Linked DNA regions of Callithrix jacchus. The protein of the gene in region 1 interacts with the protein of each later gene in a pairwise test. Links are inferred from orthologs where the notes say so. Each region holds a gene or a part of one and is shown in the gene's direction. Other genes may lie near its edges. The genes, in order: DTNB, DMD, ZBTB9, SNTG2, CEP63, SPZ1 and BEGAIN.

Region 1 (4,474 bases):
CTGAGGCTGGATGTGGTGGCTCACACCTAGAATCCCAGCACTTTGGGAGGCTGAGGCGGGCAGATCATTTGAGGCCAGGAGTTCAAGACCAGCCTGGCCAACATGATGAAACCTCATCTTCACTAAAAATGCAAAAATTAGCTGGGCATGGTGGTGCATGCCTGTAATCCCAGCTGCTTGGGAGGCTGAAGCAGGAGAATCACTTGAACCTGGGAGGCGGAGGTTGCAGCGAGCCAAGACTATGCCTCTGCACTCCAGCTCGGGCAACAGAGCAAGACTCATCTCAAAAATAAATAAATACATAAAAATAAAAAATAAAGCAGCTGAGCCTCCCTTCCCTCACCCACGACCATGCAGGGGCACCCTGGACGTATTTCAGACCTTGCACGCCGAGCCGGCGGAATGGTCTCTACTTCTATCCCAGCTAGTTTCCAGCGCCCTTTGCACTCTTTGTACAGCCAGAAACCCTTCAAATGATTAACTTTAACAAATGGGAGAAGCTCAGTGCTCCTCGACCCTGGCTACGCATTATATCACTTGGGGTCACTTAAAAAAATTCAGCCCAGGTGCAGTGGCTCATGCCTGGTCCTAGTGCTTTGGGAGGCTGAGGCCAGAGGATCTCCTGAGCCTAAGAGTTTGAGGCTGCAATGAGCAAGACTCTGTCTCTTAAAAAAAATTAGTTCCGCCAGGCGTGATGGCTCACGCCTAGAATCTCAGCGCTTTGGGAGACTGAGGCAGGTGGATCACGAGGTCAAGAGATCGAGACCATCCTGGTCTCGATCCAGGGTTTCACATGGTAAAACCCTGTCTCTACTAAAAATACAAAAATGAGCCGGGCATGGTGGCATTAGCCTGTAGTTCCAGCTACTCAGGAGGCTGAGGCAGGAGAATTTCTTGAACCCAGGAGGCGGAGGTTGCTGGGAGCTGAGATCGCGCCATTGCACTCCAGCCTGGGTAACAGGCTGGAAAAAAAAGATTAGTTCATCTAGATGAATTTTGGGTGCAGGTATATTTTCTCAAAAGCATACCAGGTGACAGGTATGTGAGAACAGCTTGAATTACCCTTGAGCCAGTTTAGAATGTTTTGTCAACATAGAATTTGTTGACATTTTCAGGTGTTTGACAACACTACATAAATAAACAAGCCTTTGATAAACTAACAAAACCTGTAGGACACTCTTCCTCGGACACTCTAGCCTCTGGATTGCCTTCTTGGGGTAATTCTTGGGATCTTTTGGGGTGCCATCAAGCCTCCTGCCTCGTGAGCTTTGCATGGTATGGCAGAATGATAGCTAATCACCCCTGTAATCCCAGCACCTGGAAAATATGACAGAAGTCTCGCTAGCTATCCAAGCCAGTCCAAATTTCAGCTTGACACCTAAGGACAGTTTTATTGAAGAATACAACTGCTGTTCCCGAGATAAATCTTAGAAAGCTTTGTCTTGAAAGGTTTTTCATGCAATTTGTCACAGGCTCTCATAATCCACAGGATGATACAGAGAGTAAAGATCAACACCACCATTAGCGCTGCCTCTCTTCCCCGCCCTCCGAATCCCACTCAGAGGTGTTCGAGCTGGTTTTCTGTGCCAGCTTCATTCCACATTTGGCCAAGACCGAGGACTCAGGCTTCAGCCTCTGGGGGTAAGGATTTCCACATTGTTATTTGCCATGCAAAATAGCAGTTCCTATTCATTTCTTCCAAATCTGCCTCTGTCAACACAGATGGCGCGCTACCCCGTACTGCTGGGACTGTGAGATTCGGCAACATTGTCTGTGTCCTGACTGTGCGGACCTTTGGCAGCCAAGCTATCACCATCCCCTGAAGGATGGATTTTGGTTTTTGTTTGCCTCCTGTGAAGGACCTTCTTTCTGCTAATCATTTGAATTACTCTCTCCTGGACCCCTTCCAGTCCTATCACGCCATCTGTAAATGGCAGAGAACAGAACGAGACACACATTATGGTGTCAATGTATAATAATTTGATACAAAGATGCGATTATGATGTTTTGTTTTGAGTATTGCTATCTGCACGTTCTTGGTTTTTTTGGTGGGATGGGGGTGGAGGTGGGAGAAGGAAGCTAGAAGCCAGAGCAGGCTGGACAGTGGATTTTATTTACAACTTTAAGGAATGGTTTTCAGGTTCATTAAATTGTTTTCCTTCAGCTGTTATTACCTTCCTCCTGCTCACACTGACACTCGGAGGGCAGGTGTCTGCCCTCCCACGCAGCTCGCTCACATCCTTCTGTAGCCTCCTCCCTGCCACTCTCAGCTCACTCACTACCTGGCACATGACCTTGGCGATTCCACCACGCATCTCTTCCCCAGATCATTTATCACTATGGTAATTAAGACTTGGATGTTCAGACTGTGGAATGAAAATAGAACAGGTTCTAGCACAGATTTTAAAAAATATTTTTCTTCCTGCCTCCAAAAAAGTACATGTTCATTTAAGACAGTTTGAAAATACAAACAAATGCAAAGAAAATTAAAATAATTCTTAATCCTATTACCCAGAGATAACTTCTTCAAATATTTTGGTTTATATTCATCCAGTCTTATTCAAGGAACACAGTAAACACACACTTTTTCCCTTTATCTTTGATAAATATTATATTTGATATATTCAAAGAATATATGTAACATTACACTCCCCCCACAAGAATCAAAACATTATAAACAATGGCAGTAATTGTCATTTACCTAAGTGCACCCCTTAGTCTCCCACTTCCTCTCATGGGGTGGGAGTATCATTCCCTTGCCTTATTTTTTTTCCCCTTGCCTTATTAAAGTAATTTTAGAAATTGTTTGTGTTTATTTGATTTTCAGCTTTGTAAAAATGGTAACATGCTATGAGTCATATGTTTCCTGCTTTTTTCACGAAGAAAAATGTTGGTTCAATTTATCCATGCTGTGTTATGCAAATGTTCTTTTATTTTTGCTGCTGTTTAATATTTCCACTGTGGAGATATACACATTTATACATTCATTTTTCTCTTGCTGGCCATTTGGATTGTTTTCATAAGTCTCAAGAACAGGCTGGGAGTGGTGGCTCATGCCTGTAATCCCAGCACTTTGGGAGGCTAAGGCAGGCAGATTGCCTGAGCTCATGAGTTCGAGACCAGCCTGGGCAACATGGTGAAACCCTGTCTCTATGACATACAAAAATTAGTTGGGCGTGCTCATGCACGCTTGTGATCCCAGCTACCCTGGATGCTGAGGCATGAGAATTGCTTGAACCTGGGAGGCAGAGGTTGCAGTGAGCCAAGATTATGCCACTTCACTCCAGCCTGGGTGACAGAGCGAGACTCTGCCTCCAAAAAAAAAAAGTACTAAGGACAGTGCAGTGATTGCACATTCCCCTTGGTGCATGCATGAAGAGTATCTTTGGGGTTGAATAGCTGGATATAAGGTAGGTAGAATTTCAACCTGTTAAATATTGGCAAAATGGTTGTACCAATTTATACTCTCACCATTACTGTATAGGAGTTTCCAATTGATTAGCCTTTTTTCCAACATTTGGAATTGTGAAACTTTAAAACTTGCCATGCTAGTAGGTGTACAACGTTGTAGTATTAATTTGCATTTTCCTGAATGCGAATGAAATGGAGGATCTTTTTCTATGTTTATTGACCATGTGTTTTCTCTTCCATAGAATGCTTGCTCCTTTTTCTATTGTGTTGTCTCCCACATTTTTTTTACTTTGAGTCAGAGTCTTGCTCTGTTGCCCAGGCTGGAGTGCCATGATGGATCTCAGCTCACCGCAACCTCCGCCTTTGGGTTTCAAGCAATTCTCCTACCTCAGCCTCCCAAGTAGCTGGGACTACAGGCATGCACCACCACGCCCAGCTAATTCTTAGCTTTTTTTTTGTATTTTTAGTAGAAACAGGGTTTTACCATGTTGGCCAGGCTGCTGTGGAACTCCTGACCTCAGGTGATTCAACTGACTCAGCCTCCCAAATTGCTGGGATTACAGGCATGAGCCACGATGCCTGGTCTCTCAAACATATTTTAAACAAAATTTGAGCCATACTACATATACCATTTTATATCATCTAAAACGTTCTTTTACAGTGTTATTTTAGTGATTTGGGACTCTTCTATCTCATAATTTAATCAGAGCTCTGTAAGTATTTTTTTAAATTTTGGTTTTGAGAAATAACTCTGGTAAGATATTCTATTGCATACATTTAATTACACATAACTGAATGTTTTAATAAAATAAGTTCTAAGAATTGAGATTTCTGAGCCTGGGAAACATGGTGAAACCCTGTCTCTACAAAAAAATACAAAAATTAGCTGGGCATAGAGGCATGTACCTGTAGTCTCAGCTGCTCGGGAGGCTCAGGTGGGAAGATTACCTGAGCCTGGGGAGGTCCAGGTTGCAGTGAGATATGATTGCGCCACTGCACTCCAGCCTGGATTACAGAGCAAGACCCTGTCTCAAAACAAAACAACAACAAAAAAAACACAACA
Region 2 (4,308 bases), on another chromosome or scaffold:
TGGACAATATTGTACCTCGTTATATAGAAGGACATTGATGCTAACATGTAGACTTAGAGCCAAATAAGCCCCCAAATCATTTTTTTACTTTTTTCATGTTGTTCTATGAAAATTTTGCTTATCTGCATATTTAGACAATCACACTGAGAAGAAAGCTGGTAACCTACAGAAAAGAATGTTATAAATCTATTTTGAAAGAAGTAAATTAAATACAATTACCTTAAAATTAGGCCTTATGTTTTAGTTCATATACATTTTGCTGGGGAAATAGCAGTTATGACAATAATATTCTAAAACACAAAATGAATAATTAACTATTAAGGTAAACATCACAGTCTGACTCAATATGTTTTTTTTATTTTTATCTGTTACTCATTTCTGCGGCAAGCAGTTGAATGTTTGACATAGAAAAATGAGTCTGTCACTTTAAAAAATGGTACAATAAAAACACTCAAACAAAAATTTTAGTAGGGATTATTATAACTGTAAAAGGAATATCTTTCTAAAAAATATTACCAGTGTTTCCTATCAATTTTGGGCTCGCCTGTTGCATAAAAGTAATAAGGAAGAAGACAAAGTGGACTTCTATTGGCAAAGAATGATTTACATGCTGAATGACACAATACAACTGTATTCATTTAATACAGGAAAAAAAAGCCTTTAATTAGAACCATTAAATGGTCATTAACTCATTGTCTAAGAAAACGGTGTTTTAAGAATTGGCACCAGAGAAATGGAAAATAGAATAATTTGGTAGTAAAGAAGTTTTATCATAATTCACAACTGAAATTTAGGATTTGAGAAAAATTTATTTACTCCATTATAAGAGTGTTCTTTATTTCAGCAGGAAAACTTGTCCCATGAGACCTACACAGACATTCTGCCTTCAGAATTCAGCTGCTGAATTCTGCTGCTGCTTTTCTTATTCAAACTGTTGGCATCATCAATACATGACTTTTGATTGGATCCCAAGGGTAAAAAATAACTTTGGTAGACAGCAGATACATAACAAATGCATAGATTATTCTGGGCATTTCTTTCTTTTGGTAGAGTGAAATTTTTGGTGTTGTTAAGAAGGGGAAAAATGCATTTAAAAGTCAATTTTGAATCAGGATTTTCTGCTCTGTTATTTTGTAAATTCACGTAACAGTTACAGAAAATATTGTTATGGTTTGGTACTGAATAGTTTTTGTGTTTAGAAGGCTTTAAAAGCAAATACTATGTCCACTGTGCTATTCTGGTTTGGATATTAATCAGAACACAGTTGAGCATTATTTGAATTCACAGAGCTTGCCATGCTGGAAGCACAACCTTATATGTAGTGACCATGGACAGTCCTATTATGGGAAACCAACTTGAGAGAGAAGGCGGGTCACTTGCTTGTGCGCAGGTCCTGGAATTTGAAATATCCAGGGGCCTCTACAGAATCCTGGCATCAGTTACTATGTTGACTCACTCAGTGTTGGGATCACTCACTTTCCCCCTACAGGACTCAGATCTTGGAGGCAATTCCCTTCAGAGAAAAACGAATAGGAAAAACTGAAGTGTTATTTTTTTAAGGCTGCTGAAGTGGATTGGTTTCTCGTTGTTTTTAAGCCTACTGAAGAAATAAAGTTTGAAGAACTTTTACCAGGTTTTTTTTTTTTAATTGCTGCCTTGATATACACTTTTCCAAAATGCTTTGGTGGGAAGAAGTAGAGGACTGTTGTAAGTACAAAGTAACTAAAAATATCTTTTACTGTGCCATAACGTTTAGTTTGTGACAAGCTCACTAATTAGGCATATTGATTTTAAGTGAGTAGTTTGCAAAGAAGCATAAATGTTATATATACTGCATATATATATATTTTTTTCAGGTATTATATTTTTCATTGGGAAAACCTTTCAACAGAAATGGAGTTTAAAAGAGTTTTTTTGTGATAGAATTAAACACATAATTTCTTGATTAAGAAACCACTGAAGTAATAGAATATGCAGAATGTCATTTGAGTATAACAGACTATTTTGATTGCTGTGAGATAGTTTGTATTTCTGAGTTATTATTTTGATTAGTTGGTACTTCTGTATTTAGTTACAGTTACATAAAGGTTACTGACCTGAGATATATTCTCAATTGAACTAATTACTGTATAGGAACTACATGGAGGCCTAAAAGTTAGGAAAAGTTTGTCTGACATATCATGGGGGAAATAAAGGATAATATGAGTTGGGATGGATAATTGGAAGATGGGAAAAGTATTGACAAGATTTAACTGTAATGTTTCTTACTCATATTTACTATTTCAAATGCTCTTTTCTGTAGTGTATTGTGATAACTTTTTCAAATAATTATTTCAAACAAATCACACAAATAATGATATGATCTATGCTCTCAAATGATCAGATGATCTCTTCTTGGGAAAACAACATACAAACTTGAGGAGATCCTAATTATATTTCATAGTAAAGTTACCATGTTGTTTCATGTCTATTATGAGCTAGCTTTTCAGTACAACTTTTTAGTCTGGCTTTCATATAGAAATGCAACTATTTTGTGTATTTTTAAGAAAGCCATGATGACTAATGAAGGATTTAAAAAGGGACCGAGGCACAACAGTAAAAATAATGTACAATAAGGATTGTGTGTCCCAGAGATGGGAGATTATCTCTTCCTCACCCATCTTTGACTTGTGGAATATAGTTATTCTAAAATAGGTATGAGGGCAATGCCTATAATTAAGAATGAAAAAATAAATCTTTCTAAATAAGTAATACTCTACAACTTCTAAAAACAAAATCAGAAGTTTGCCACTGTGAAAAATTTGTGGAAATAAGTTAACATTGTCCATGTATTGATTCACATTAAAAGCTATCAGATTTTATAATATAACAGTTAACTTATATTGTTTCCTTACTTCATAAATCTCTTTTGGTGAGCATCATTATTGCTTTCAGATTGAAAAACTGTTATACTTACTATCATTACAAAAATATGCATGGTATATATCTGTAGTTTGCAACATACACACATATTTTTTATTTGTTGTTTTTATTTCTTTGATATTTATAACATAAATACTATCAAAATCACTAGTGATTATATATATATATATATTCTACATAATTAAACTCATACACAAGTATATAATGCAATTTTGAAAGAATAGATGCAATTATGCTGGAATAAAGCAAGGTAAACCTACACTCTGTTTTGTCATAGATACTCAAATAACTCTCAATTCTTAGAATGTGAAGAAAGCTAATCATTTTGGGACATGTCCTGTAGGATTTTTTCACACTACATTTAAGAAATCATCAAGTAATGCCTATGCCACATGACAATGAATTTGTTAAGAAAAAAATAGAGATATTCTCAGGGTTATTTTATACATTAAATTTTGCTGTTTGTTAACATACTGCTATTGGGATGTTTGACATTTGAATCCAGTTTTAAAATTTGCCTTAGTTTGAAAAACTTACAAAAGTACATTTTGTTGTTTTTAACCAAATTAGCTACCCGTTAAAACAGATCACTGTATTGTCAAACACATTGAATTGTTTACTTTTAGAATTACTCAAATAATGCATTGTAAAGAATTATTCAGGCAGTGTATTGCAAACAGACATTTCATTTGAATATATTTAAATGATGTAAGTCATCTTGAAGTCTACTAAAATCGTCATTTAGAATTTCATTTGCAGAATCTTAAAGGCATTTTAACTATGAAAAAGAGATTGCTAATCTAAATTGATGATACAATGTTTAATACAAAGCTTTTGGTGTATCTTACATGGCATTAGATTATGAAAAATACATTAGAGTATGTCATATGTATGTTACTCTAAACTTTAAAAAAGACTACAAAGTGTTTCATGCATAATTACATTATTTAAGGGAAAAAAGATGTTGGTTGACACTATTCCACCTAGGCAGCACTGAATTGCAAATTCATAATTTGGGCAGAGATATTAATACAGCTTCCTCTTTAGTCCTATAGTATTCATTTGAAATCCCTGTGCTCCACGTCATTTGCTACGTAGGAAACAAATTGTCAAGTTTTTAACCACTTGTGTTGTTTAATAAAAGAGATTAAAATCATTGTCTTGGAAACATCAGGTGTTTTTCAAAATTCTATTTTATTATCTTTCATCACAATTTTATCTCAGGAGAAAAACAAAGTGACTTCACGAACTTTTCTTCTCCTTCCACCTTCTATTGTAATAATTTCCTAACTTATTGAAAATGATTTATCATACTTTTTCTTCAATTTATTCTTTATTTCATCACACATACAAGAAACACAGTATTTTGGTATGAGTATATATGTT
Region 3 (4,541 bases), on another chromosome or scaffold:
TTGGGGTGGGTAGGCCATGGGAGGGGAGAGGCCCCTCCTTGGCACCCCCTCTTCCCTGACTGCTGTCCCCTACCCAGCCTTGCCCCCTTCATCCCTTTTTGCGTTTGGTATTGAGACTCTCCTAGACTCTACCCCTCTTTCTTTTGTATGGACAGTTCCCCTTCAGTCCCATCCCCTACACATACACCCAGCCGGGGCCAAATTTATACTTATATAAAACTTGTAAATATGTGAAATTTTATCCCTGTGCCCTTTCCCCATCTCAGGCCCTACCCCTGGACCCTCCCCAACCTTCCTTCTCTCTTTGGCTGTTGTAATTATCTGGGGTTTGTACTGTACATATCCGGGGTGTGTGTGTGTGGGCTGGGGGCAACCCTTCTGTACAGAGCTTCCTGGCCCCCTCCCCCCCGCCCCTCTGCTTCCCTCCCCACCCACCACCTTAAGGGTAGGGAGATGCTCTTCCTACCTGTTTTATTTTGTTTTCTCGTTCTCCCTCCCCATCCCCCTCCCAGCCTTATCTATCCTTCCTCACTGTCCCCTTTTCTCCACTCCCAGCCCCATTTCCTTTTTTTCTGGAGTGTGTGGTGAAACAGAAAAAACATGTTTAATAAACGGAGATTGTTCTTTTATCGCTGTGCTGACTTTCTGAGGTAGGGCCTTCCAGACAGACCTTTAGGGTGGTAAAATCTGCTTTCTGAAAGGAAGCTGACAGCCTGGGAGAAAAACTATATCCCCACCTGATGCCACACTCACCTCATAGACTGTCACTCTCCCCTCCCAACGAGATTTTTTATATTTTAGAGCAGGAGTTTTGCACTGGCCGAACTCCAGTCTAACTCTCCTCTCACTACTGCTTCACTTAGTCCAAGGCCAGGAACGGCGGCGTTATCTTATAAAAGAGTTATGTATATATCCACATTTATTTCTTTTAAAAATTACCTAGAAATTAGGTTTCTTTAATAGCTGGTTAAAATGCTCCCGTGCAGAATAAAGAACCCGGTTCTTCAGCAAATCCAGGTTCCAGTCCCAGGTCCACTACTATTAGCTAAGTGACGCTTTCAGTCCGTTTCCCCCGCCTGGAAACTGAGGACGGCAACCTCTACCCTCGCAGGGCCGGTGGGAGGACCAAGGTGACGTGGGCAAGTGCTGGGCCCACAAGGTAAGTGCTCAACTAATCTCGCTCCTCTCAGGACCTACCGGGGGCAGGCGTTACACTTAATCACCGGGAAACGCAGCTTTCCGGGGGCGGCTGACGGCCCGCCCCCTCCGACCGGGATGTCCTCCCCCGGGCCCTGGCTCTCGGTTTTCTGCGGCGGCGAGGACTTCCGCAACTACACAGGACGCCCGTTCCGCCGGCGCTCTGGGCCAGCGGCCTCCTCCTAGCACCGCCCTCCTCGTCTGCGGTAGCCAATCGACACGGGGCTTCTAGGCTGCTATTCCTCGATTGGCTAGGGCTCTAGCTCCGCCTGCCGCACTCGGCGTCGGCGTCCGGCCCGGAGGCCGTGGCTTCCGGCCTGGGATGGTGATGTAGCCGCACGGTACCTGTGAGGGCAGCGCCGCGTGTGTAACTGCGGGGGCGTGTCGGCGGAAGGACACCAGGGCCGAGACTCGCGGTGTCCGGTGACCGCGTCTTCCCGGGAGCCAGCCTCTGTGAGCACTCTGAGGCGGAACGGCAGGGCAGGAGCTGTTCTGGGCGGGCGAAAGCAGGCTCGTGGCTGAAGGACCTCCTTCTCATCTTTCACTGGGGCTGCAAATTGAAACCCCGGTTGGTGTTTTGTTGCTGTTGTGGTTTGTTTGCTTTCTTGGTGTGCGGGACTGATTTGCAGAAACCGCCACTGACGAAAAGTTTCCAATTATTGCTGGTGGGGGGAGGGGGTTGTTTGAGGAGATGTGGCTCCCCCTATCAAGGGCTTCTGTGACCTCTGTGTCTTTCCTCTACAGCCTTCATCCCGCGTGGAGTCCACCCCCAGGCCCCCTCTCCTCTTTCCAATCCTTCTCACCTTCGAGGAGGCCATGGAAACCCCGACGCCTTTGCCCCCTGTACCCACCTCCCCGATCTGCAACCCAGCCCCGCGGACAATCCAGATCGAGTTCCCGCAGCATAGCTCTTCGCTGCTGGAATCTCTGAACCGCCACAGGCTAGAGGGAAAGTTCTGTGATGTGTCCCTCCTGGTGCAGGGTCGGGAACTTAGAGCTCACAAAGCAGTGTTGGCTGCTGCTTCTCCTTACTTCCATGACAAGCTGCTTCTAGGGGATGCGCCTCGTCTCACTCTGCCGAGTGTCATTGAAGCCGATGCCTTCGAGGGGCTACTCCAGCTCATTTATTCAGGGCGTCTCCGCCTACCACTGGATGCTCTCCCTGCTCATCTCCTTGTGGCCAGTGGCCTTCAAATGTGGCAAGTAGTAGATCAGTGCTCAGAGATTCTTAGAGAATTAGAAACTTCAGGTGGTGGAATTTCAGCCCGTGGAGCAACCTCCTACCATGCAGTTCTTTCCACTGCATCCTCTACAGGAGGCTGGTGCATTCGCTCTTCCCCTTTCCAGACCCCAGTGCAGTCCTCTGCTTCCACTGAAAGCCCTGCTTCCACCGAGAGCCCTGTGGGAGGGGAGGGAAGTGAACTGGGAGAAGTGCTGCAAATTCAGGTGGAAGAAGAAGAGGAGGAGGAGGAAGAAGATGATGAAGAGGACCAGGGGTCAGCCACACTCACTCAGACTCCTCAGCCCCAGAGAGTATCAGGGGTTTTTCCCCATCCTCATGGACCCCACCCACTGCCCATGACTGCTACTCCCCGAAAGCTTCCAGAGGGGGAGAGTGCACCACTTGAGCTTCCTGCCCCTCCTACTGCACTACCCCCAAAAATCTGCTACATTAAGCAGGAACCCTTTGAGCCTAAGGAGGAGGTATCAGGTGGTGGAACTCAGCCTGGAGGAGCAAAGGAAGAGACCAAAGTGTTTTCTGGAGGGGACACTGAAGGGAATGGGGAGCTAGGGTTCTTGTTGCCTTCAGGGGCAGGGCCAACATCTGGTGGAGGGGGTCCATCCTGGAAACCAGTGGATCTTCATGGGAATGAAATCCTATCAGGGGGCGGAGGACCTGGGGGAGCAGGCCAGGCTGTGCATGGGCCTGTGAAGCTAGGGGGGACACCCCCTGCAGATGGAAAACGCTTTGGTTGCCTGTGTGGAAAGCGGTTTGCGGTGAAGCCAAAGCGTGACCGGCACATCATGCTGACCTTCAGCCTTCGGCCTTTTGGCTGTGGCATCTGCAACAAGCGCTTCAAGCTGAAGCACCATCTAACAGAGCACATGAAGACACATGCTGGAGCCCTGCATGCGTGTCCCCACTGTGGCCGTCGGTTCAGAGTCCATGCCTGTTTTCTCCGCCACCGGGACCTATGCAAGGGCCAGGGTTGGGCCACTGCCCACTGGACTTACAAGTGACTGCTGAGGCTATACACTAGCTTCTAGGACAAGATAACCACTGCTGCCAATGGATACTTACCCCTCATTACCATGGCACACCAGTCATGGATCTTGTAATCAAGCCAAGAGAATAGATACATTATGGCCCTGTTCTTAGATAAGGGCCTCTCAGCCTGGCAGATGTGGAAACTCAAATTTCTCATCTCACCCTGGGTTTCGGTTAGGGAACCCTGCAGGAAATTGGTTTATAGGCCATTCATACTCAAGTTGATCACTTGCCCATGGTCGACCTTTTTGTAGTGGTGATGTCCATTAAGGAAGCCAGATTTTCGATTATTTAGTGAGAGAAGAGTTAGGGCAAAAGAGTGGTAAATGTTTTATTCAGTCTCCATGAGGAATTAAAGGAGTTGGTCTTGAATTAGAGATACATTTGATTCAGAGCTTGAGTAATTCAGAGGCTAAGCTCTAAGCTTTTTTTCCCTTATTGCTGGAATCATTTAAGCAGAGTTCCTTTTGTGTACTTTTAAAATTGTGTCTTTTGAGGAGCCCCTCACGTTGTACCTTGCTTTCTTACCAGTAGACACCTTCCCACCACTTTTTTAATGTTGTAGTTGAGCCCTTCAACAAGTTGAGCATTCCATGTTTCATTCCTAGAACCTTCTTTAATAGAGGGTATTCCCTCAACAGCCTGTGCCTCTGGTCTGCCTTTGACCACCACTGATAACTCGTATTTGTCACAGTGACTGAACTGTCACCAGTGAACTCAGGAGATGGCACTGTCCTAAAGTGCTTTCAGGGTGGCACCACTTCTCTCTGAACAAGTTGCCTTGGTCAGAGGGACTCAGGTTTCAGACAGCACAAGCTGAAGGCTGGAGAGTAACTTGTATAGTAGGACCATACCCCTTCCTTTCCCATCTCACCCACGTATGATAGCCCCTTCATTGAGAGATGGAGGGGATAGATATTGGAATGGGGGGTGGGACTTGCAGTTACTTAAAGTTTTTGAATAAACTGTGCCCCAAAACCTAAACTAACAGTGGACTGGATTGAGTAACTTGTATGGGACAGAATGTGAGAATGGAGCTGCAGAGTTTTGGGTGCGTTCCTTACGTGGCTAGTTT
Region 4 (4,428 bases), about 24 Mb from region 1:
AACATGGTGAAACCCCGTCTCTACTAAAAATACAAACAATTAGCTGGGCATGGTGGCGCGTGCCTGTAATCCCAGCTACTCAGGAGGCTGAGGCAGGAGAATTGCCTGAACCCAGGAGACGGAGGTTGCGGTGAGCCGAGATCACGCCATTGCACTCCAGCCTGGGTAACAAGAGCGAAACTCCGTCTCAAAAAGAAAAAGAAAACACTGCGTTTGGCTCCGGTAAAGGTGGTGCTGAGAAGCCCTGAGATCCCCCGCAGGCCGCCCTGGAACCCAGAGATGGGGGGATGGGGGGGCGCCCGGGTCCGAAACCCAGGTCTGCCGGCGGCCAAGCGAGTCGGAGTCAGAAAAAGGAAAGCGTTTCACAGCGATTTTTCAACGTTTATTTGTTCACTCAAGTTCTGCTCCTAGAGGGCGAACCTCCTCCAAAGGCCTCAGACTTCGCGGCTTTTGCTGCCTCGGAGCGGGAGGGACAGGGGCGTCCGGGTCTCCGAGACGCGCCCGCGCCCAGGCCTGGCCTGGAGGACGGAGGGGGTTGGAAAGGAGGAAAAGGGGCGCCAGCTTCTTTCTAAAAATGTAGGTGGCCTGTGCGCCCCTCACTGCCCCGCCCCACGGGAATTTACCCTAAACTTACTTCATTTACATTAACATAGGCCGATTTGAGTCTGGGAACCCCGTGCGGGCGTCGGGGAGGCTCCTCTGGGCGCAAAGCTGAGTGAACGGGGGACCCGCGTCTCCGCCGCAGCCGAGATCGGGGTCCCCGCAGGGTTCGCGAGACGCCGCGCCCCGGAGGCGGGACGGGGCCGCGGACCTTTGGGGCGATGGAGGGAGAAGGACGACGGGAGCGGCGCTGGGGGAAGGGGAGGACTCCCTGTCTTTTCTTCGGGCCGGGCAGTCCTCGGGGTCCTCCGGGCTCCCCCATTGCTGGGGAGACGCCGGAGGAAGGTCTGAGGGCTGCGGCCGGCGAAGGTGTGGGGACCCCAGAGGGCTGGGGGCGCCCGGGGACCCCGAGGCTGCGGTTGGAAACGTCCCCGAGGAGAAGCTGAGGACCTTGGGCCGGGGCGGGGGCGGCGGGGAGGGGTCGCCAGGCCGGTCCAGAGCGCGCCCACCTGCGCCTCAAAGGAGCGCCGGGGCCTGGAACGCGGACCTGGGTACCCAGCCCGGGAGAAGCGCGTGTTCCGCCTCCAGCCCCGCCGGCCCCTCGAAGGTCCCTCCGACCCCAGGGAACGCCCCGTGCCCCCAGACGCCGCCCTTCCCCGCGAGCCGCGCGCCCGGCACCCCGACTCCGGCTACGCCGCGCCCCTCCCTCGCCCGGGGCGGGACTTCGTGGGCGGAGCTCCCGGTTCCCAGTCCCGCGCCCCAGGCCACGGACGCGCGCGAAACCCGAGCCGGAGCCTGCAGAGGGGCTCGGACGCGGCGCCCGGCGGGACTCTGGAGGCTCGCGTGGGGTCCTGGCGCTGAGCTGGGCGATGAGCATCGAGGGACTCCCGCTTCCCGCCGCCCCCCGCGGACGCCCGGGCTGCCTGCTGGTGCCTGTGCCGGTGAGTATGGTCCCTCCCGCCCCCGCCCCTTCCTTCTCCCTCCGCGCCCCTCGGCCTCCCCGCGCCCCTTCCCTCCCTCCAGGGGCGGCTGCCCGTTGGGAGGGCTCCGGAGTCCGGGACGCCGCGGTCAGCCAGGACCCCCTGGACCCCCGCCCCGCGCTCCGCCCTCTCCTGCGCGGCGTCTCAGCGGGAAACTTGTGGGGTTTGCGCCTGGACCCTCTGGAAAGGCTTGTTCCGAGGCGCGGGGCTCCCCTTCACTGCGTCAAGTGGCGCTTTCCGGAGTTTGGGGTTTCCGACTGGGCGCCGCGTTTCTTCCAGGGGCAGCTCTGGTGGGCCCCGCGGAGCGCGCGGACCGAGCGTCCCCCCTGCAGCCTCGGGCGCCCGGGCTGGTGCGACTCGGCCTGGGGGAGCCTGAGGGTTCGCGGCGCCGCCTCGGCCCGTGCTGGGGGTTCCCGGCCATTCCGGGGTCGCTGGGACGCCAGCTGGTCACAGAGATGTCTTTTTGGAAGTCGATTCTAGCTCCTGCCCTAAATAACTCCCTCTCCACCTTCTTATTTTTAAATTAACTATTGATTGACAGAAAACAAACGTTGGCTCAAAGAAAAACGAAAAGTTGTTGGAAGCTTTCAAGTTCCCACAGCACAGCCCCGATTCTGAACACGGTTTCGGGGGGCACGTGGCCGCCCAGTCCCGGGAAGCCGCCGACGGGATCCCCTCCCTGCGAGCTCCCAGCCCCAGGAGCGACCAGGAGTACACTTAGCTCCCCTTTGTAGGGCCCCGGAGACGGCTCGGAAGGCCACAGGTTGGGGCTGCTGCAAACTCCTGTCCTCATGGCAATGATTCTAAACTGCGACCGTGGTCCCAGCCACTCTGTTCCGTGTGGACATAGATGCATCTGCATTCAAGCCATACCTTTCTGGGCTTTTACACAACATGTGAAAATGAAATTTCATGTAAAAGCGGGTGTTTATTTCTTGAAGTACTTTGCAATATGAGTATCTATCCCACGGTGGCCCAGGGTCATCCAACCCGAGGAGATATGCGGGGATTACCTGGGAAGCGACTGCAGGAGGAGCTGCGGCCTCCCCGGAATCCCAGGCTCTCCACTGCTTTCAGCGTTAAAGCGATGCCCTCCCATGGTTAGGGATTGTGCATTTTTCTCGAGACTTTCTTGCAACAAGTCTTGCTTTTAATCATTGCAGATATAGCGGAAGCTTTGAAGTGGAGGCATCACACTTCATAATTGACCCACTTGAGGGATTATTGGCGATAACTTCTACACGTGCATCAACTGCGCGTATTCTAGTAAATGGTCTCCTTTGTGCTCAGTGTTAATTAAGGTGCTCAATTTGGTGTTTTCAAGGGCGGCCTCCACTCACCTGTTTGCTACAAGATGTGATTGGTGCATTCTTTGTAATAACGGCCTCGATTATTGAAAACAGCCTATCCGAACTGAATGGAAAGAAACGTTTTTTCAGCGTTCGAGGCCAAATGCTACAAGATGGAGCATTTTAAGAGCAAGACTCCTAACTTTGCAGTCATAAACACTTAGGTGTGCTCTAAAGCTGCCCTAGACACAGGTGCTGGGTAATGTCAGCCCAGAATCTTACTTGTTTAAAAGGAAACTGTTCAGTGTTGGTTTTGGCAGGTTTGTCTTCAAAACACGAATGTTCTCAGCTTGCAGCGTCATCCTTGCTTAATGCCAGAGACAGCTGGGCAGAATTATCCATTTTCTTGCCATAACTGCATAATATTCAAATTGTGTAATTACTTCAGTTAAGAGAACTTGGTGCTTTTACGTAGAAAAAGATGACAAAACATCTTTTCTAGATCTTATATTTCTTTTTTTTTTTTTTTTTTGAGACGGAGTTTCGCTCTTGTTACCCAGGCTGGAGTGCAATGGCGTGATCTCGGCTCACCGCAACCTCTGCCTCCTGGGTTCAGGCAATTATCCTGCCTCAGCCTCCCGAGTAGCTGGGATTACAGGCACGCGCCACCATGCCCAGCTAATTTTTTGTATCTTTAGTAGAGACGGGGTTTCACCATGTTGACCAGGATGGTCTCGATTTCTTGACCTCATGATCCACCCACCTCGGCCTCCCAAAGTGCTGGGATTACAGGCTTGAGCCACCGCGCCCAGCCTAAATCTTATATTTTTTCTGTCTGAAGTCAAAAACATAACACATTCTTTATCATGACTGCTTGTTTGAATCATGGAATTTAGCCAGATTTGAAGGTCTCCTGTTCAGTAGCAGAAGTGTTTTGTTTCCTCTTTAAAGCGCCTGTCCCCCATGCCTTTTTCTAGGTTAGGTCAGTTCATGGAGCTCTGTCTCTGACCATACCTGGATTTTTGGGTAAAATCCCACTGGCAGAGAACCATCAATACAGTGTGCTAAGGGTGTCTTGCTTGTAGCTTCAAACATGACTATTGATTGGTGTTTACAGCACATTCACTGCTTTTGAATGACAACACGTCTTCAGTCTGGGCTGCTGGAAGAATCATTGGCGTGAGCTAGGAACATGCCCATTTATATGATGAACGGAAAGGCGAGGCTACGTTAGGTGGTTTTCAAGGTGCATTTGGTAAGGGCATCACTTAACCATCTGTTCACAGATAGGAATTGCTGCATGAGAGAAATGAAGCGTCTGACCTGGAAGGTTACCCATCCCTTCGCTGCCTTGGGTGTGTTTCTCATCTTTGCTGACTCATCTGTAATTTCAGTTGTAGAATTTCTGTTGATGTGTGTGACATCATAAGCAAAATTCATGCATTATAAAGCAGCAGTTACCCAGTTTTACCAGGAGACATGTTTCCCCACTAACTATTTTAATGAGATCCAATTAAGAAAAGTGTGCTTTTTTTTTTTTTCCAAATATGGGATGTTAA
Region 5 (4,436 bases), on another chromosome or scaffold:
AAGCTCAACTTCAGACATTGCCTTGCCTTGAGGATTTGTACAACTCTGGTCTGTAGTTGGTCCCTTCGTATACTCCACCTCAGTGTCATCTCAGTATGTTCATGAGCTCCTGTGCTTAGGAATGCTGAGGTTTGGGCCAAAGCAGGTGGAAGCTTTTGTAAAAATGGCTCACAGACGTCCCCCATAGGGTAACTGCAAGGTATTCCTACTCCTTGGCAAAAATTATACACAGATTGGTATGGGCAAGGGTTCTTACCCCCATGATAAGGATCTGGGCAAAAGTTAAGCAAAATGTGTCTTGCTACTTCTATCACCGGTGAGCCAGGTGAGGTCTTAATTAATCCAGTACTCAATAATTAACCCAGTACTACCCAGTGGATAACTCAAAGCAAGACGAAGTTTTGGTTATACTTTCGTAGTCCCCGTCTTACAAGAGCTCCCCACTTTTGTGCTGCTACTCCTTCGTCCTTGCTGCTCTGTCCCCTGGGATACCCTTCTCACTTTCCTCAGCTGATCCAAACATTTCCCCAGGCCCACACAGATTTTCCACCTTTTAATACAATTTTCTCAAATCACTTGAGCTTCATAGGCCTTCTATCCTTGAACTCCTGTTTCTTGTCCTAACTTAATCTACTAAACAAGCTAGGTCAGCTTTGTGATAACTGCTCAGGTATTATTGTCTCCAACTGTTAAGGGTACATTTTTTACCCATGATTTCTTAGATCTTTCCACAGTTTGGCCTCAATCTTTGTCACCTGTCCCTTCACCAAACACCTCCAACCATGTCACATTTTCCAGCCTTGGCAATTAAAATCCCCTTTTCCACATCACTAATGCTACTCTTCCTTTCAAGATTAAAGCAGGCGTCAGCTCTTGAAGATCAACATCCCATTTCCAGGGTTAGATGCAAAGGTGCCTTCACTCATAAGGGACCGGAAGGATCGGAAGCATCAAGACAATCAATGCCCAGGGCACAGTCACCGTCCCAAGTACTCGTCACACAGCACGACCACTGTTTCCTGAACAAACTTTTCTTACGTTACAGTCCCAATGCTTGCAATGTTCTTTTTTTCTCTTCCTTTTTATTCCAGTGAACCTCTAAAAATCTTAGGTCCCAGGGAGCTTCCTGTAGGAGGCCGCCTCCAAACCCCAGGCTGAGCGCGGTCCTAGTACCTACCCCTCCAAGGATCGCACAGTTCCCTGAGCACACAGCAGGGCACCAACTGGGGAGTTTGTCACACAGCCCAGATGTATTTCTTTCCAGACACGCGGTGCCAGCGTTTCCCAGGACAGAAGAATGTCTTAACAATCTCTATGTATTATATATATATAGCTTCGTAAACATGTATTTATTGAAGTCAAGGCTGGAAAGCCTTGTTCCTCGCTAGAAATGAGCCTCGCAGGCCACCACCGTCAGCGCCGTACGTGAAGCCGCCCGTCAGCTGCGGCTTCCGGCCTAAGGCAGGAGGTGCCAAACGTGGAAGCGCGGATGGGGAAGTCTGGAGGCGCCACCCAATTCCCTTTCCTCCCGACACAACGTGCAGTAAGGGAAATAGTTATGAGTTTAAAGTGACGACCTCAGCCGATGGGAATACGGGAAAGTCCGACACTGAGAAACGAACGCATTTCTGCGCCCCCAAGACCTAGACCAGGGTCGCTGGAAACCCTTACCAGCATCCAGCACACAGCAGCTGGCGCTTCCTCCGGCCACGCCCTCAGCATCACTAGTCCCCACGCTCTTCCCTCGGATTCCCGGATGTGGGTGAGTCCATTTGCTTGCGGGCCGGGGAAGTCTGAAGGAGAGTTTCAATTAAAAGTGTGGGGGCAGTGGGCGGGACGAACGCGCCGACAGAGGCTGGTAGTATGCTCGGCGGTGGCGCGCGTGCGCTGCGCCGGCCTGAGGTAACGGCGGGAAAAGTTCGGGGGCGCGCTTGTCGCAGCTTTGTAACCGCTTGTGCGCACGTCGGACGGGCAAGGGGCGGGCGTGCCCTGGTCTGGAGGCGGCCCATGCTGCCGTGGTGACCCTGGCTTCGTGGCCTCATAGCTTGCGGCTGGTTCCCGCCACAGCCTGCGAGTCACCAGGCGCGTCCCAGCCGGCTCGGGTCAGCCTCCGAGACCCGCCCCTCGACCTTACCTGCTGCGCCACGCAGACCAGCGGAGTCGGGCTTGGCGCTGTCGGGCATGGCGCCGTCCGGCGCGCGGGTTCGGCTCTGCCAGGTGGTCAGCCCTTCCGCGGAGACCGGGCGGTGGGGGTCACCTCGGAGGGTGGCCAGGGGGGCCGGCGTGCTGCGGCCAGGACTCACTTTGCCCGGCGGACCCACCATCCCTTTCAGCGCAGGTACCCCAGCGCCGCCTCCCTGCCGGGGCTGCTGTGTAGCTAACGCTGTTGGGACTACTTCATTCATCTCACAGGGGACCTGCTCATTCACTTGAAGACAGTACATCTAGGCTTATAATGTGGTTTTTCTTATGTCCCTTACGACATCAGGAAGATGAGTGCGATGTCAGATACTAGTCATCTTTTATACTTTCAGCACCGTACACTAATATGCATAAAATAGTTTTCCCTGAGCCTTATGTCCGATTAAACTGATTAAAAGAATTTTTTCCTTTGAAGAAGCAGTATTGTAGGGTAGGAACGCGTATTTATACGGTTCCTCATGTGTTAGCTTTTATTAGACAAGAAGAAATCATAAGGATCATTAATTAGATTTCTGTTAGTTGTAGCTTAATGATATACTAAAGTGTGTATATTATTTGGAATGCAGTATGATTTGTAGATCGATCTTGCCTTTTGACTGTAGTTATCAGTGATCAGGTAGTAAAAAAAGGCTCTGAAATTAAAATGAGGTAGAGATTTATAAACAAGCGCACTGCCTTTTAAAATATATGTAGATTCAAATCTAAAAGCTGTAAAAATTAATGTTGATTGTACTGATGCCATTTCCTCTCGTTAAAAGGTGAAAGACCTTTTCTTAGTTTTTTCTGTTCTCATTTATGTTGTGCTGGCAGATGGTGACAGCATCAGTAGTCGACTCTGTCATAGCTTCCTGCTTTCAAAAAATGTCTACTTGACTTGAAATTCAGCTAAAGCCAACATTGACATAAGGTTTCAGGAACTGAATCTCTGATCTCTATGTTATTTTAGCCCCCCCCCAGCTAGGTTTTTTTCAGTTTTACAAAGCCACAATACTGTCATTAAACGTATACAAATTAATAAAAATTCCCTAATGTCAATATCTAGTTAGATTCCGAATTCTTCAACTCTCTCCTAAATGTCTTCTTACAGTTAGCTTGTTTGAACCAAAATCCCACGTCTGCCTGTTACCTTTGGGTGATACACATTTGACATTTTTTAATCAATAACAGTTCCCACATAGCTATAGCTATAGGACTGGCCCTTATTTTTCCTTGCAGTTCTAAATTTAGCAGATTGCATTGCACAGTATCTTTTAACACGTATCTGTGTTGCCTTTATGTCCTCTAAACCAGGGTTTCCCGACCCCGGGGCCGCAGAGCACTACGGTCCGTGGCCTGTTAAGAACCTGGCTATAGAGCAGGAGGTGAGTGGCAGGAGAGTGAGCATCACCTACCACCTGAGCCCTGCCTCCTGTCAGATCAGCCATGAGGTTAGATTCTCCTAGAAGCACACCCCTATTGTGAATTACGCAGGCGAGGAATCTAGGTTGCACGCTCCTTATAAGAATCACTAACTATTGGGAGGCTGAGGCGGGTGGATCACGAGGTCAAGAGATCATCGAGACCATCCTGGTCAACATGGTGAAACCCCGTCTCTACTAAAAACACACACAAAAAAATTAGCTGGGCATGGTGGTGCGTGCCTGTAATCCCAGCTACTCAGGAGGCTGAGGCAGGAGAATTGCCTGAACCCAGGAGGCGGAGGTTGTGGTGAGCCGAGATCGCGCCATTGTACTCCAGCCTGGGTAACAAGAGCGAAACTCTGTCTCCAAAAAAAAAAAAAAAGAATCACTAACTAATGCCTAATGCTCTGAGGTGGAACAGTTTCATCCTGAAACCATGTCCCTAACCATGTCCATGTGTATTATTCATATTAGTCAAGAAGTGGTTTGGCCATTTCCCCCAAACAACATTTCATATGAATTTTCACAAAAAAAAAAAAGACAAAATATGTTATTTTCACCCTGTCGGTGGAAAAATTCTTCATGAAACAGGCCCCTGGTGCCAAAAAGGTTGAGGACCACTGCTCTAAACCAGTAGTTAGATGTAGAATTGCACTGTCCAGTATTTTAGCCACTAGCCAGCTGTGGCTAGTTTAATTAAGTGAAATAAAATTAAAAATTCAGTTCCTAACTTGCATTAGCCACATTTTAAGGGCTCAATAGCCACAAATTGCCTAGTGACTACTCTTTGAACAGTGCAGTTATAAAATATTTTCATAATTGCAGAAAGTTCTG
Region 6 (3,724 bases), on another chromosome or scaffold:
GGCTCTGGGGAATTAGAGCCAAAGTGAGTTGGTAACTGGAGAAGAAAGAAAACACATGAATTTCTCTTTTCTAGGGGAAAAAAAAAAACTGAGTATAAGTTTTCCTAAGACTGGAAGCAACTTTCTATTGAAGTGCTTACTAGCAAGATTTTGAAGGCCAGGAAAAAGTCATACGTAAGAAATGTTTTCTTTGATTGTATTCTATATTCTCAAGACCTGACTCCTAAGAACAAAAAGACAATAAAGCAGTTTATTAAAATAAAAGAAGTTTAATAAACTTGTTACTTTTCTGTAACCCATTGTAGAATTTACCTGTTTTAAATGCTTTTCAGTTTTTAATTTTTTGAGGCAGTGTCTTGCTCTGTTGCTCAGGTTGGAGTGCAGTGGCCTGACCTCAGCTCACTGCAGCCTCTGCCTCCTGAGTTCAAGCAATTCACATGCCTCAGCCTACTGAGTAGCTGGGATTACAGGTGTGTGCTGCCACACCCAGATAATTTTTGCATTTTTAGTAGAGATGGGGTTTTGTCATGTTGCCCAGGCCGGTCCTAAACTCCTGGCCTCAAGTGTTCCAGGCCAAAGTGCTGGGATTACAGGTGTGAGCCACTGCACCTGGCCAGTTTTTAAATTTTTTGAGATAGAGTCTTGCTGTGTTGCCCAAGCTGGAGTGCACTAAGTAGCAGTCATGGCTCACTGCAGCCTCAACCCCCCAGGCTCAAGTAATCCTCTTTTCTCAGCCTCCCAAGTAGCTAGGACCACAGGCACACATCACAACACCCTGCTAATCAAACACTTTAGATATATAATTGTGTCATTTTAACAAGTTACTGTGTAGAGTGTGAAAATCTTAGAAGATCAATAAAATAGCCAAAGAAAAAAAAAATCTCCAAATAAGTTACCCTGAAAAGTAATGGTTCAAGTTTTCTATCACCTGATGTAAATGATTCGTGAGCAAGGTTGCCAAGCGTGTCTTGAAGAATGCCTATATTCAAAGCCAAGAAAAGCCCCAGTTTGTAATTGTGTTACTATTATAAATAACCATTCAGATAGTCCCTTCTTGCAGCAGTAGAATCTTTTTGAATGGAGGGACTCTGGCTTTACTTTCCTAAAATCACAAAAGGTGTAGCAGTCTGGGGTTTTGTTTTGTATGGATAACTTTCTTTTACAGTCACAACTCTCTTAGAATGGGAGCAATAAAGCCTCTAGGTGTCATGAAAGGATGGGGACCTCACCAGAGAGGACTGGCCTCAGCCATGCCCTTAAGTGGTCAAAACATGCTGTGGTTGGGGTCAGGATTGTGGGGGAATAGGAGTGAGGTAGGGAAGTAACTGAGTGCACTTAGACTGAGATGAATAGCAATTTAGAAATTAAGGAGGGAAGAGCTGTTGTAGAGTTCTTTCTGGCATGAGGAGTAGGGGTAGCCCAAGGTTGCTTTTGATGCATGAGTCACTGAGCAGGAATTTGAGAGGTTTCCACTGTGACACAAAGGAGACAGATGCTGGGGATAGGCCACAATGGTGCAGTGACACAATAAAGACATGGTTGCTAGGGCCAGAGAATAAAAACCGGGTGCCTAGAGGAGGAGAGATGGAGCCCCAGCTCCAGTCCCCTTTCCCACTCTTTCTCCCCGAAAGGCTGTCTGAGATGCCACCTTCCACCTAAACAGCATCTCCTCAGTTTTAATCCTTAACTTTGGTCTCTGACTTCTGCTTGATTCCACAATCTCCACCCACATTTGCATGAAAGACCATCACCTGTTCTTCCTGGAGTCTCTAAGGTTTTCCGCTTTCCTTCTGTCCTGATGGCCAACTCTGCTAAGTCAGCCGAGATGCCCACCCTCTCTGAAACACTTAACCCTACTCCTGATCCTCATCAAGAATCTCTGGACCCTAAGATTATCATTGCCTTATTCGAAATTGGATCACTTTCCCCTTCCTTCTGGGGCTCTCTCGCTTCCCTAAAGAATAGCAACCATCAAGTCACAGAACAACAGACTGCACAGTTTAACAATCTCTTAAAAGAAATTAAAGACATTCTTAAAAATATGGCAGGTTTTGAAGAGAAGATCACAGAAGCAAAAGAACTTTTTGAGGAAACCAGTATTTCTGAGGATGTGTCAGCCCACAGAGAAAACATGAGAGGACTTGGCAGAATCAATGAAATGTTATCAACAAACCTGCCTGTGAGTTTAGACCCAGAAAAAAAAGAGGATGAAAAGAAACAGGAGATGATACTGGAAAACCAGAACTTCGAGAACACAGTACAAGTTTTTGCAAGAGATTTGGTAAATCGTTTAGAAGAAAAAAATGTTCTTAATGAAACTCAACAAAGTCAGGAAAACAGACTCCTTAGTGTTCAAGAAGAAACTATGAAAATTAGGAACAACATGGAGCAGTTACTACAGGAAGCAGAACACTGGAATAAACAACATACCGAGCTCAGCGAACTGATAAAATCCTACCATAAATCTCAGAAATACATAAGTGAAACTCTCGGAAATAATGGAGTCGATTTCCAAACCCCAACAAATAATCAAGCATCAGCTAAGCATGAGCTGGAGGAACAGGTGAAGAAACTGAGCCATGACACCCGTTCATTGCAGTTGGTGGCAGCTTTGCTAGAGAATGAATGCCAAATCTTACAGCAGAGAATAGAGATTCTCAAGGAACTCCATCATCAGAACCAGGGAACTCTGCAAGAGAAGCCAATTCAGATAAACTATAAACAGGACAAGAAAAATCAGAAGCCATCCGAAGCAGAGAAAGTAGAAATGTATAAGCAGAACAAGCAAGAAATGAGGGGTACATTTCAGAAAAAGGGGAGATCCTGTAGAAGCCTGGATGTTTGTCTTAATAAGAAAGCTTGCAATAACCAGTTCAATATTCATGTTGCAAAAAAAGCTCTTATGAGAAAAAAGAGGTCAGTTAGCAGCGTAAGATAGAAAATATCAAAAGCAGATGAAGAGGTGAATCCTTAAAAAATACATCTGATACATCCAGCTTCAGGCATGATCAATCATCAAACCATGGGCAGATCTGCTGGTTCAACCAAAAAAAGAGCTACAGAATAAGAAGATGAACACTTATATTGCTTATTACCTCAGCAATTATGTAAGTCTGGTCTTAAGTGACCATTGTGTCTACATCAAGTTCACCTTTTCACCTCCATAATCTGCTTCGTTTTTTTTGTAATTATTAGATAGACAGCCTAGAGTGAGAAGTTAAAGATCCAATTAAGTAAAGACCTAAATTAAGTAAAGACCTAACGACAAGGGAAAGTATTTTTTTTTTCTTTATTTAATCATTTCATGGAGACGGGGAGTTCTGGGGGAAAAACTGTATAGTGTTTTTGGCCAGGTGCAGTGGCATTTTGGGAGCCCAAGGTGGGAGGATCATTTGAGGCCAGGAGTTTGAAACAGGCCTGGGCAACACAACAAAAATTAAGTGAAAAAAAGATATATAGTGCTTTAGTTGTGACCTTTTATAGCTCCCTTTCTAAATATGTTTCCTTTTCCTATTTTACAAGTAGGGGATGTGGGGGAATTTTAAAAATGCTAATAATCCACCCCTAACAAATTGCTTTTCTCTTATAAATCTGCACTGGCTCTACTTTTCTTAATGTGCCCCCGTTGCTCCTCTGCTAGTGAACTGTGGGCATACTGGGCAGCAGAGGCTCTTGGGAAGGACGCCCTCAACTTGTTTAGAAGAATAGAGACATATCTATATTT
Region 7 (3,090 bases), on another chromosome or scaffold:
GGCCATCACAGCACCCACACCCCTGGGAGCTTATTCAGTTCAGCCTCCAGGGTCCCGCTCCCCCGGGTGTGATATGAGAAGCTGGGAGGCCCTGTTCATCTGTCTGCCTGCCTGTCAGTCATGGCTAACGTCAGTCTCCAGCTTTGGGGCCAGGACTGGGCCACCATGCTGACAGTGACCCTGTCCCCGCCCCCTACTCCTCGCGCCCGTTCCAGCTGCCCTCGGACTTCCAGGAGCGCGTGAGCCTGCACATGGAGAAGCATGGCTGCAGCCTGCCCTCCCCCGTCTGCCACCCGGCCTATGCCGACAGCGTCCCCACCTGCGTCATCGCCAAGGTGCTAGAGAAGCCTGACCCTGCCAGCCTGTCCTCCCGCCTGTCCGATGCGTCGGCCCGAGACCTGGCCTTCTGCGACGGAGTGGAGAAACCAGGCCCGCGGCCCCCCTACAAGGGAGACATCTACTGCAGCGACACAGCCCTCTACTGCCCAGAAGAGCGGCGGCGCGACCGGCGGCCCAGCGTGGACGCACCCGTGACCGACGTGGGCTTCCTGCGGGCCCAGAACTCCACCGACAGCGCGGCTGAGGAGGAGGAGGAGGCCGAGGCAGCGGCCTTCCCGGCGGGCTTCCAGCACGAGGCCTTCCCTGGCTACGCGGGCTCACTGCCCACATCCAGCTCCTACTCCAGCTTCAGTGCCACGTCGGAGGAGAAGGAGCACGCGCAGGCCAGCACGCTGACCGCGTCCCAGCAGGCCATCTACCTGAACAGCCGTGATGAGCTCTTCGACCGCAAGCCACCCTCCGCCACCTACGAGGGCAGCCCTCGCTTTGCCAAGGCCACGGCCGCGGTGGCAGCCCCGCTGGAGGCCGAGGTGGCCCCAGGCTTTGGGCGGACCATGTCACCGTACCCGGCTGAGACCTTCCGATTCCCGGCCTCTCCGGGTCCCCAGCAGGCCCTGATGCCCCCAAACCTGTGGAGCCTACGGGCCAAGCCGGGGACTGCCCGGCTCTCCGGGGAGGACATGCGGGGCCAGTGGCGACCCCTGAGCGTGGAGGACATCGGCGCCTACTCCTACCCGGTTAGCGCCGCTGGCCGTGCCTCACCCTGCAGCTTCTCTGAACGCTACTACGGTGGGGCCGGGGGCAGCCCGGGCAAGAAGGCCGACGGCCGCACCAGCCCACTCTATGCCAGCTACAAGGCCGACAGCTTCTCCGAGGGGGACGACCTCTCCCAGGGCCACCTGGCAGAGCCCTGCTTCCTGCGGGCGGGTGGGGACCTGAGCCTCAGCCCCGGCCGCTCTGCTGACCCACTGCCAGGCTACACACCCAGTGAGGGGGGTGACGGGGACAGGCTTGGGGTGCAGCTGTGTGGGGCCACCAGCAGCCCTGAGCCCGAGCAGGGCTCCAGGGACTCCTTGGAGCCAAGCTCCATGGAGGCCTCCCCGGAAATGCACCCCGCCGCCCGCCTCAGCCCCCAGCAGGCCTTCCCGAGGACTGGTAGCTCGGGGCTGAGCCGCAAGGACAGCCTCACCAAGGCCCAGCTCTATGGAACCTTGCTCAACTGAGCGCCACGTGCAGGCCTGGCTGTGGGCCTCTCCCCGCCAGCCCATGGCGCCCCAAGGGGCCGGCCTCACCCCCCAGCCCCTGCTGTTCCCCCGCCCCTGCCAACAACCAGGCGTCTGTTCCTCCCCGTACCTCCTCTCCTCCCCAACCCCATAGGCCCGAGGAGGATCCCCCCGCACTGCGGTGTCCACCAGCCCCGCCCCATGGAGCTCCACTTAGAACGTTTTTCACACTCGTCCTTCCCCCATCTGAGAGGGGCATCCCCCCTTTTATAAAGCGAAACTATTTTTATAGAGAAAAAGGGTCTTTCTAACGCACTTGGCCTCCAGCTCCCTGGACGGCTGCCTTGGCGTTTTCAACACAAAGCTCCTTTATTTTTGGGTGAGGGTGCGTGGGGCCTGCCCCTTGGAAGGGAAGGGAAGGGAAGGACCGTGTCCTATGGAGACTGGACTCTGCAAGTGGGGAGAACACCCCCACAAGCCAGTGACAAGGAAACCCAGAAGTTGTGTCCACGAAGAGGGAGCTGAAACGAATTTGGGGCTATGAAGTGTTTTAAAAATCATTTTTCGCAGTGTGGCCACCGCGCCGCCCTGAGCCCCCCCCACGGCCCATAGTCCCGGGTGGGCGGGGATGATGTCCCGGTGCGGCTGGCGCTCATCCCGCCCCCACGTCCATCCCTGACACCGTCTTACTCTACCTCAGACATGATGAGGCCCTCCACTCCCGGTTTCTGTAGCTTGCGTTCCTGTTGTCTCTGATGCATGCCCTGTCAGTTACTATTGTATTTTGCATTCATTAATAAAAGACACTGGTGGAAAGAATCTAGATTGGGCTATTTCTCCTCCTCCTGCCTTTTGGTCTTGGGAACTTGGAGTCCCTGGTGTCCCCACCCTCAGCCTTGCTCTCTGCAGCCAAGTTGGGCCCCTTAACCCCACGTCACACCCCGTCCCCACCCTAGTATCCAATTTCCTATCTAGGGTGCGGATTCCCCTGCCTTTCCCAGCCCACTGGACATGACCGTTCTTTCCTCTGATCTCACACTCCTGTGCGCTGCCCACGGATTTCCTGGCCTCTAATCCTCACGTCTCAGACCGCTTCTCCTTGAGAGGTACTCAGGCTGCGGACAGAATGTCAGCCAGCGGCTTTTCCTTGGCACACGGGAGCTGCCACTCTGCTCTGGCTTCCTGTTGGTACTGGGAACTGGCTGTCAGGCTGGGAGCCGATCCTTTGGTTGGAAAAAAAAATTGCTTTCTCTTCCCCAGCTCTTTAAGATTTTCTCTTTGACTCTGGCGTTCTGCGGTTTCCCTGAGGTGTGTCTGGGTGTGGACTTCCTTCTTAGGAATCTTCTTAGGATTCTCAGGGAGTCTGACACGTGTGGATTGGTGTACTTCACCAGTTCTGAAAAATTCTCAACCATTATTTTTTAAAAACATTTCTCTGCGCATTCTGTTTTCTCCCTGCGGGTCTGTTTCTCAGAACTATGCTACCTCAAGCCTGAGGCGGCCCCATCACCCCCCTACCGTGCCCTGT

Evidence for each region.
Region 2: the proteins of DTNB (region 1) and DMD interact in binary tests that used the Homo sapiens proteins (3 or more experiments, as listed by UniProt). The link is inferred for Callithrix jacchus from reciprocal best matches to the Homo sapiens genes DTNB and DMD.
Region 3: the proteins of DTNB (region 1) and ZBTB9 interact in binary tests that used the Homo sapiens proteins (3 or more experiments, as listed by UniProt). The two-hybrid records come from large-scale screens. The link is inferred for Callithrix jacchus from reciprocal best matches to the Homo sapiens genes DTNB and ZBTB9.
Region 4: the proteins of DTNB (region 1) and SNTG2 interact in binary tests that used the Homo sapiens proteins (3 or more experiments, as listed by UniProt). The link is inferred for Callithrix jacchus from reciprocal best matches to the Homo sapiens genes DTNB and SNTG2.
Region 5: the proteins of DTNB (region 1) and CEP63 interact in binary tests that used the Homo sapiens proteins (3 or more experiments, as listed by UniProt). The two-hybrid records come from large-scale screens. The link is inferred for Callithrix jacchus from reciprocal best matches to the Homo sapiens genes DTNB and CEP63.
Region 6: the proteins of DTNB (region 1) and SPZ1 interact in binary tests that used the Homo sapiens proteins (3 or more experiments, as listed by UniProt). The two-hybrid records come from large-scale screens. The link is inferred for Callithrix jacchus from reciprocal best matches to the Homo sapiens genes DTNB and SPZ1.
Region 7: the proteins of DTNB (region 1) and BEGAIN interact in binary tests that used the Homo sapiens proteins (3 or more experiments, as listed by UniProt). The two-hybrid records come from large-scale screens. The link is inferred for Callithrix jacchus from reciprocal best matches to the Homo sapiens genes DTNB and BEGAIN.

What each region holds. Positions count from the first base shown.
Region 1 is NC_133515.1:89,527,164-89,531,637, forward strand, and holds the start of DTNB (dystrobrevin beta), read left to right. Parts: upstream 1-1,594; 5' UTR 1,595-1,641; intron 1,642-4,474.
Region 2 is NC_133524.1:34,128,643-34,132,950, reverse strand, and holds the start of DMD (dystrophin), read left to right. Parts: upstream 1-1,434; 5' UTR 1,435-1,676; coding exon of another isoform or gene 1,677-1,707; intron 1,708-4,308. UniProt on the Homo sapiens protein: Anchors the extracellular matrix to the cytoskeleton via F-actin. Ligand for dystroglycan.
Region 3 is NC_133505.1:41,686,812-41,691,352, forward strand, and holds ZBTB9 (zinc finger and BTB domain-containing protein 9), read left to right. Parts: upstream 1-1,511; 5' UTR 1,512-1,650; exon of another isoform or gene 1,651-1,765; intron 1,766-1,941; 5' UTR 1,942-2,013; coding exon 2,014-3,438; 3' UTR 3,439-4,450; downstream 4,451-4,541. UniProt on the Homo sapiens protein: May be involved in transcriptional regulation.
Region 4 is NC_133515.1:114,023,065-114,027,492, reverse strand, and holds the start of SNTG2 (gamma-2-syntrophin), read left to right. Parts: upstream 1-1,376; 5' UTR 1,377-1,469; coding exon 1,470-1,541; intron 1,542-4,428. UniProt on the Homo sapiens protein: Adapter protein that binds to and probably organizes the subcellular localization of a variety of proteins. May link various receptors to the actin cytoskeleton and the dystrophin glycoprotein complex.
Region 5 is NC_133518.1:49,699,288-49,703,723, reverse strand, and holds the start of CEP63 (centrosomal protein of 63 kDa), read left to right. Parts: upstream 1-1,458; 5' UTR 1,459-1,585; coding exon 1,586-1,902; intron 1,903-1,944; exon of another isoform or gene 1,945-2,181; coding exon of another isoform or gene 2,182-2,338; intron 2,339-3,492; coding exon of another isoform or gene 3,493-3,563; intron 3,564-4,436. UniProt on the Homo sapiens protein: Required for normal spindle assembly.
Region 6 is NC_133503.1:130,655,817-130,659,540, reverse strand, and holds SPZ1 (spermatogenic leucine zipper protein 1), read left to right. Parts: upstream 1-1,550; 5' UTR 1,551-1,798; coding exon 1,799-2,938; 3' UTR 2,939-3,108; downstream 3,109-3,724. UniProt on the Homo sapiens protein: Transcription factor that binds to the DNA sequence 5'-CANNTG-3'(E box) and the G-box motif. May play an important role in the regulation of cell proliferation and differentiation during spermatogenesis.
Region 7 is NC_133509.1:135,437,776-135,440,865, reverse strand, and holds the end of BEGAIN (brain-enriched guanylate kinase-associated protein), read left to right. Parts: intron 1-215; coding exon 216-1,562; 3' UTR 1,563-2,381; downstream 2,382-3,090. UniProt on the Homo sapiens protein: May sustain the structure of the postsynaptic density (PSD).